Kluyveromyces lactis: one gene and its partners. The protein of the gene in region 1 interacts with the protein of each later gene in a pairwise test. Links are inferred from orthologs where the notes say so. Each region holds a gene or a part of one and is shown in the gene's direction. Other genes may lie near its edges. The genes, in order: RPN12, RPN8 and RPT3.

The links.
Region 2: the proteins of RPN12 (region 1) and RPN8 interact in binary tests that used the Saccharomyces cerevisiae proteins (3 or more experiments, as listed by UniProt). The link is inferred for Kluyveromyces lactis from reciprocal best matches to the Saccharomyces cerevisiae genes RPN12 and RPN8.
Region 3: the proteins of RPN12 (region 1) and RPT3 interact in binary tests that used the Saccharomyces cerevisiae proteins (3 or more experiments, as listed by UniProt). The link is inferred for Kluyveromyces lactis from reciprocal best matches to the Saccharomyces cerevisiae genes RPN12 and RPT3.

What each region holds. Positions count from the first base shown.
Region 1 is NC_006040.1:974,686-976,979, reverse strand, and holds RPN12 (proteasome regulatory particle lid subunit RPN12), read left to right. Parts: upstream 1-976; coding exon 977-1,774; downstream 1,775-2,294. Other genes in the region: RET2 (coatomer subunit delta), read left to right, coding at 1-572; KLLA0_D11352g (hexokinase), read right to left, coding at 2,152-2,294. UniProt on the Saccharomyces cerevisiae protein: Acts as a regulatory subunit of the 26S proteasome which is involved in the ATP-dependent degradation of ubiquitinated proteins. Necessary for activation of the CDC28 kinase.
Region 2 is NC_006039.1:827,053-829,675, forward strand, and holds RPN8 (proteasome regulatory particle lid subunit RPN8), read left to right. Parts: upstream 1-1,056; coding exon 1,057-2,058; downstream 2,059-2,623. Other genes in the region: GTPase GPN2, read right to left, coding at 1-598; COX10 (protoheme IX farnesyltransferase), read left to right, coding at 2,474-2,623. UniProt on the Saccharomyces cerevisiae protein: Acts as a regulatory subunit of the 26S proteasome which is involved in the ATP-dependent degradation of ubiquitinated proteins.
Region 3 is NC_006039.1:571,326-574,142, forward strand, and holds RPT3 (proteasome regulatory particle base subunit RPT3), read left to right. Parts: upstream 1-893; coding exon 894-2,180; downstream 2,181-2,817. Other genes in the region: SHE9 (She9p), read left to right, coding at 1-485; SMP3 (glycosylphosphatidylinositol-alpha 1,2 mannosyltransferase), read right to left, coding at 2,270-2,817. UniProt on the Saccharomyces cerevisiae protein: The 26S proteasome is involved in the ATP-dependent degradation of ubiquitinated proteins. The regulatory (or ATPase) complex confers ATP dependency and substrate specificity to the 26S complex.

The sequences.
Region 1 (2,294 bases):
TGGACAAGGCTGGTTTCTTAACTAACAAAACGATCGGGCTAAGAGATCCTAACAAACCATTCCCATCCAATGATCAAAGTTTGGGTGTGCTAAGATGGCGTAAGGTTAAGGGTGCTGATGAACATGATTTGATCCCATTAGAAATTTCAACATGGTTGTCTCCATCTTCAGAAACGGATAATGCCATTGATGTTACTTTTGAATATGAAGTCAACAGTGATTACGAAGGAACTATCGATGAATTACGCTTCTTGATTCCTGTCTTCACCGATACTGTATTCATCAAAGATGATCTAAACGAGGCTAATGCAATCGTAGAGGCCATTGACGAGTCCCAAGGTATTATCATTAAGGTGGACCCAATTGAATCCGGTCAGTCAAGCGTATTCAGTGTTACTGTCCAAGCTGCTTATGAAGATGCGTTATTCCCTATCGAAGTTGCTTTAAAGAACAGCAATGCCAAACCATTGTCTAACCTAAATATTGCTTCTGTTGTATCTGCCGCAGATGACACTGAACTACCATTCGACACCGTATCTACCTTGAAGAGTGAACAATATGTCGTAGTGTAATTGCACTTTGCAGTATTAAACAGCAGCATGTGTCTCTAGCAGAAAATACTGCTACTATATAAGTAATCCTATACATGTTTGTGTATTTTTAAGAAGTAATGTACAGTGAACTCCACCAAAAGTAATAAAAAAAGCCGAAAACTGAAGAAAAAATGGTAATCTGATCCGTATGCAATTGATTAGATATGGCCTGTTAATACCTATTGCAATACGATCGGCGCATCTTGTGTCCTATCTTACCCATTGCCTGCTTTCATTTGTTCAAAGTTCCTATAAATCTACTACTATGTAATGAGAAATTCAAGATTCAGTGAAATTGAAAATATCAACATTAACTTAACTCAGACCTTGCATGAATATGTTTTGCCACCGAAATAAAGGGACAGAGATAGACAGCAACCAAGATGCCATCGTTACCAGAGCTAACCAAGGGGTTGAAGACTGCCTTTGAGGGCAAACAATATGAAACATGTTTGAGATTACTACTTCCTATCAAGATTGAATTGATTAAAGCAAAATTGTTAATACCTGATATCAAAAGCGCTAAGGAAAATCAAAGCTATCTACAGGATCTGAATATAGCAAAGAAGATACTTGAGATAGGAGCACTTTCAAGCATATACTGTGAGGATTTTGAAACTTTCATGAACTATTACTCACAGTTAAGCGCATTCTACTTTTCTGATGTGAAAGAATTGAGTGATTCAGATAGCAAGTTCAAGTTGATAAGTTTGTACTTATTAATCTTGCTAGCACAAAACGATTACACTAAACTTCACTCAGAATTTGAGTTTTTGAGCAGATACGTTACGAATTTGGAAGAGAGTTCGTACCTCTCTTATCCAGTAAAGTTGGAAAGACTTTTGATGGAAGGTTCTTATCAAAAGGCTTGGGATCTGTTACAAACAGGTTCTAAGGTTGAAGAGTTCAATGTTTTCACAAAGACTTTGAAAGAGGCTATAAGAGAGGAAATTGCTTTGAATTCTGAACAAGCATATAGCTCCTTACCATTGTTCAACGCTAAGACTCTACTATTCTTCGAGAATGAAAAGGAGATGGAGGCGTTCGCTAAAGAACGTGACTGGAGCGTCAACCATGGCGTTATCACATTTGGAAATGATTCAACTCCAGACAGGATAGAGAGTGGGGATACCGTGGATATGGCTATTGACTATGCTGTTCATTTAGAAAGTATTGTATAGGTAATATCATAAAAATATACACTTCAAGCTTGAATAGTTTTAAAATAACTAGTGCCATATTATCCAAACTGGACATAAGCATAACTAATATTATTAAGATTTAAATTTGAAATATATTCATATTTGTACATTAACACATAAGTTAGTTTACATTTGCGAAGAACAATCTGTTCCGGCCTACATATATAGAAAAATGATGTTTATATGTCTCTATGTCGATGTTGGAAAGCCAGAATGGTCAAAGCTTGTTAACTAATGATATCATGAATTGGATTGATCTAATAACTTCATAACAGAGAAAAAAAATATAATAGCAAATCTTTAGATTAATTCCTCATAATGGATTGTATGAGGGAAATCATCCTCTATCTTCTATTCTATTCGCCTTTAATACCAACAGACTTACCGGCAGCCAATCTCTTTTGAGTCAAACAAGCAATGATAGCAGCACCAACACCGGAACCATCTTCAGCAGCCACCAATTGGATTGGGTGGTCTTCCATCTTTTCGACATCCCAGT
Region 2 (2,623 bases), on another chromosome or scaffold:
CCAATTCTTGGACCTCCGTGAAGTAATCCAATCTGAAAGGCAACTCTCCGTATCCCTTTAGCATATCGATCTTTGAGAAGACATTGATGTGTGGAAGATCCATCATTAGCATCGATCTTAGTGCAAGTAGAAGGATCGAAACGTACTGCGAGGGAGAAGTAATGTAAATACAATCGATCAAATTCACAACACATAGCCTGATATCCAAATCCTTCTCTAGTCGTTTGAAAATCTTGAACAACGCCGAATTGTGTGTGAATAATTCGACTTGCCCGGGACAGTCAAAGACTAGGTATGCTTTCTCCTCTTGTACTAACGATTTGATCTGCAATATGAACAAATCGATCGACTCATTTAAAGACTCTATCGCATACATTAACCCACCATTCGGACCCAAATGCTGTTCTGACATAATCTCTTCTAGCGTGATATAGTCTCTAATATCGACCGAACACGGATACGGGAGCCGATGGTTGGCTGGATCCATATTTATCACTTGAACATGTCTTCCGATTGCATTGAAAAACTGGGAACAACCATGACAGTACGTTGATTTACCAGACCCTGGAGGTCCAATCACAATTTGGCCAAATGGCATCTTTATATTTATTTTCTAGAGTATACCCAAGGTCTTCGTACAAACCGTAAGCCGTCTTGTCTCCTCCCTAACCGTATAAACATGTCCTTTCATCTCATCTCATTGCACAGAATCTTTTTAATATTAAGCATTGAATTATGTTCGCTTCGCAGTTCCTAATATTTCGAGATTTGAAAATAAAAAAAATGAAATAGCATTAAGAACATTAGTGGCAAATATTAATTTGACAAAAATACCTGAAATAATGGGGCACTTGAAGATCTATACACTCCTGAAAGCGAAACTGTGATAATACTTTGAGATTGTACTAATTGAATTACCGTGACCAATCTAGCGTTTTGGGGTTTACTTATAAAAGAGAGTCAAAAAAAGTGCTTAGTCAATCTGCATTTCTGATAAGCTAAGAGAATAGAAATCAAACTATAAATTGGAAACAGCTTGGCAACAACCAATTGATAATGTCTGTACCTTACGAACAAGTTTCAGTTGCACCATTGGTGTTACTTTCCGTATTAGACCATCATCAGCGTACAAATACTCCGGAGAACAAGAGATGTTTAGGTGTCATTCTAGGTGATAGTTCCACGGCAACCGTGAGGATAACTAATTCGTTTGCGTTGCCGTTCGAAGAAGACGAGAAGAATCCAGACGTTTGGTTCCTAGATCACAACTACATCGAGACCATGAACGAGATGTGTAAAAAGATCAATGCGAAAGAGAAGCTAATTGGTTGGTATCACAGTGGTGGGAAATTAAGGGCTTCTGATTTAAAGATTAACGAGTTGTTCAAGAAGTACAGTACCAACAATAATCCCGTGTTGTTGATACTCGATGTGAAACAAGAGGATATCGGACTACCAACGAACGCATATGTGGCTGTGGAACAGATCAAGGATGATGGTACTTCGACTGAGCGGACCTTTATACATATCCCAAGCACTGTGGAAGCAGACGAGGCGGAAGAAATTGGTGTTGAACATCTACTCAAAGATGTCCGTGATCAAGCTGCAGCTGGTTTATCTATAAAGCTAACTAATCAATTAAATTCTCTTAGGGGCTTGCAAAGAAAATTGAAAGACATAGTAGCATACTTGGAAAAAGTGGCAAACAACGAGTTACCTGTGAACCACATAATTTTAGGAAAATTGCAAGACATTTTCAATCTTCTTCCAAACCTCGGAACCCCAGATAAAGATGAAATGATCGGCTCAAGTCATGTCTTAGACAATGTTACCAACAATTTGGAAAAAGCCCTCACAGTTAAAACCAATGACGAACTAATGATCATTTACATAAGTAATCTGGTCAGAGCCATAGTTGCATTTGATAACTTGATTGAGAACAAAATTCAAAATAAGAAACTTCTTGAAAAGCATTCGAAAGTTGAAGTAGAACAAAAGGAGGATGCCACTAATGACGGCATCCCTGCTGAGTCGAATTCGGTACCTACTAAGAACTGATGCAACTCTTTTAATAAACCGAAACGAAAATAATCAAATATAGTATTTTCTGTATACTAAGTTACAACTACGCCATATTTCCTAAAAATTTAATGAGAATTTAAATGAAGCAGTATGTATGTCTATATCTAAGATCAGCACCATTGGCATCGATATGGAACTGATCAATGAATTAAATGGATCTCCGGTACCGGTTCGTTAGTTCTCGTCAACCTCTTCAGATTGATTCCTTCTAATATATCAAATTCGCATCTCTTCATATAAGAAAATTTTATGAAGATTAAAGATCGAGGAAATTGTTCATTGCGCACAATTTTGAAGGTAAAAACCATTCTGAGACAACAGTGTATTTACCAGACCGAGGCCCAGTTAACCAAGATAATATATTCCATCAACTGCTAGTTGAAGATTGAGTATGTCACTGGTAATCCAGCCTCTACTTATGAGGGCATTGAACCCCAACTTATCCAGTATTTTAATATCGGGGCGTGGGTTTAGTTTGATTCAGCACAGACGGTTCGCGTTTAGAGCTGGATCTGGAAACAATAACTCCGAGCAAAACCAG
Region 3 (2,817 bases), on another chromosome or scaffold:
TTCTTACAAGGTATCACGAAGAACAAATCTGGTCAGATAAGATCAGAAGAACTTCGACATGGGGTACATTTATTTTGATGGGAGTAAATATACTCTTCTTCGTAATATTTCAATTACTGCTAGAACCTTGGAAGAGAAGGAGGTTAGTCGGTTCTTTCGAAGATAAGGTAAAAATGGCGCTTGATGATCATCAAAAGGAACAAAACTTGGCAATTTCAGAAATGTCAAATACCATAGACAATTTGATGGATAAAAAACTTCAAGAAACTCAAACAAAACCCCATCAGGAGGAAGTTCCCAAAATCCTCACATTTTCAAATATAGTTGCTGACTTTAAGATATGGTGTTCTTTACAGTGGACAATATACTATAATAAGTTGGTAACTCTTTTACCGGAGACAACCGTCACTTTCACCAAGAGTTGTTTCTACTCGTACTCCACACTACTTTTATCATTAGGTATACTATTAGGACACTGCATTTGAGTATACACAGGTGCATTGATATACGTAGTGGGTAGCCTATCATGTTAACATTCTAAACAGTGTAGGCCCTTCGAAAAAGTTGTCTAAGAACCGAGATCACGTGACTGCAAAATGGGTGGCAAAATACCCAAAATGAGATTTAACTTTTTAATGAAATAATGCAATTATTAAACTGAACGATTTGACATAACCACTTTAGTGTGGAAGGGGATACGTTTATAAATATATGTAGGTACAAACACATATATCCGTGTAAGTAGTAAGACTGACCCCTTAGTTTATTGGAATTGCAGTATATTATTGGAACTTTTCTGTGTTTTCGGATACTTTCGTCTTTATTTGATCATAGTCTAAAGGGAGTTAGAATATTTACACACTACGGGAAAGACGAATTAAGATCAAAACATTATGGAAGAACTAGGTATTAGTACTCCTCAACCTGTTCTTAGTGTAGAATTTGGTGCAAAGAATAATGGTCTATCATATGGTTCCCTACTTGCTCAGCTAAATAATGATTCATTTGCCGTGGCGAATGGTAATTCAGATGTCTACTTGAAACTAAAGAAGCTGGAGAAAGAATATGAATTATTGACATTACAAGAAGATTATATCAAAGATGAACAGCGCCATTTGAAGAGGGAATTACTCAGAGCCCAAGAGGAAGTGAAAAGAATCCAATCTGTGCCACTTGTCATTGGTCAATTTTTGGAACCGATTGACGAAAACACCGGTATCGTCTCCTCGACCACAGGTATGAGTTATGTCGTAAGGATTCTATCGACTCTAGATAGGGAACTGTTAAAACCATCAACTTCAGTTGCATTACATCGTCACTCTAATGCCCTTGTGGATATTTTACCACCTGATTCAGATTCTAGCATATCAATCATGGCCGCAAATGAAAAGCCAGATGTCACCTATGCCGATGTTGGTGGGTTAGACATGCAGAAGCAAGAAATAAGAGAAGCTGTTGAACTACCCTTGGTACAGGCGGATTTGTATCAACAGATTGGTATTGACCCACCAAGAGGGGTTTTACTTTATGGTCCTCCTGGTACTGGCAAAACTATGTTAGTTAAGGCCGTGGCAAACGCGACAGAAGCCGCATTCATCAGAGTGAACGGGTCAGAGTTTGTGCATAAATACTTAGGTGAAGGGCCAAGAATGGTTAGAGATGTTTTCAGATTGGCAAGAGAAAACTCACCATCAATTATTTTCATCGATGAAGTGGATTCCATCGCTACAAAACGTTTCGATGCTCAGACAGGGTCTGATCGTGAAGTCCAACGTATATTGATTGAGTTACTTACTCAAATGGATGGTTTTGATCAGTCAACAAATGTTAAAGTTATAATGGCAACCAATCGTGCTGATACTCTAGATCCAGCTTTGTTAAGACCTGGTAGATTAGACAGAAAGATCGAATTCCCTTCATTAAGGGACAGGCGTGAACGTCGTTTAATTTTTGGTACTATAGCTGCAAAGATGTCTTTAGCTCCTGAAGCAGATTTAGATTCTTTGATCATCAGAAATGATCCTTTATCTGGTGCTTTGATTGCCGCCATTATGCAAGAAGCTGGTCTAAGAGCTGTCAGAAAGAACAGATACGTCATCCTACAAAGCGATTTGGAGGAAGCGTATGCTTCACAAGTCAAGTCAGGTAGCGATGTTGATAAATTCGACTTCTATAAATAATTTAATTTAATTGTGTTTGACTCAATACATATCGGTAAATGCAGTGTATATTGGAAAGTATTCCTAATAGAAAATAAGCCAGTAATATTTCAAACTATTAGACTTACGTTGTATAGCCTTAATCCTGGCTTTATGGTAGTCCAGTCTGGCATATCAATGTGATCTAAATCGAGATGCTGCTGCGTCTCCCATTCTGTGATGAACTTCCATTGCGACTGAAGGGGGGTCAATTTATCGAGAACAGTATTTGGCATGATTAGCTGAATTGAGTCTGTGTTCTCCGAAAATTTTGTAAGAGTTTTATTTAGTAACTCAATGTCACTACCTTTTAAATCAACAACATGATTTGATACAACATGCCAAGGTATATTATCGACAAACTCTACATTTTCCTTAAAGTTCGTGGTAGAAACCGTCAGATCAGGATTGGAATACATCCACGTCGGAGGAGAATATGTCTTCCACCAAATATGAACAGGGAATTCTTCACCTGAGAAGTAGGATATGAGAGGTATTATTCCTGCTTGATGGAATACTCCCATTATCAATCCCATGACAATATTAAAGACGAGCCATGAAGTTATGATGGTTTCTGCTTGAAAGAAAGTATCGAAATTGTCAAGGTTCATCGATGCAC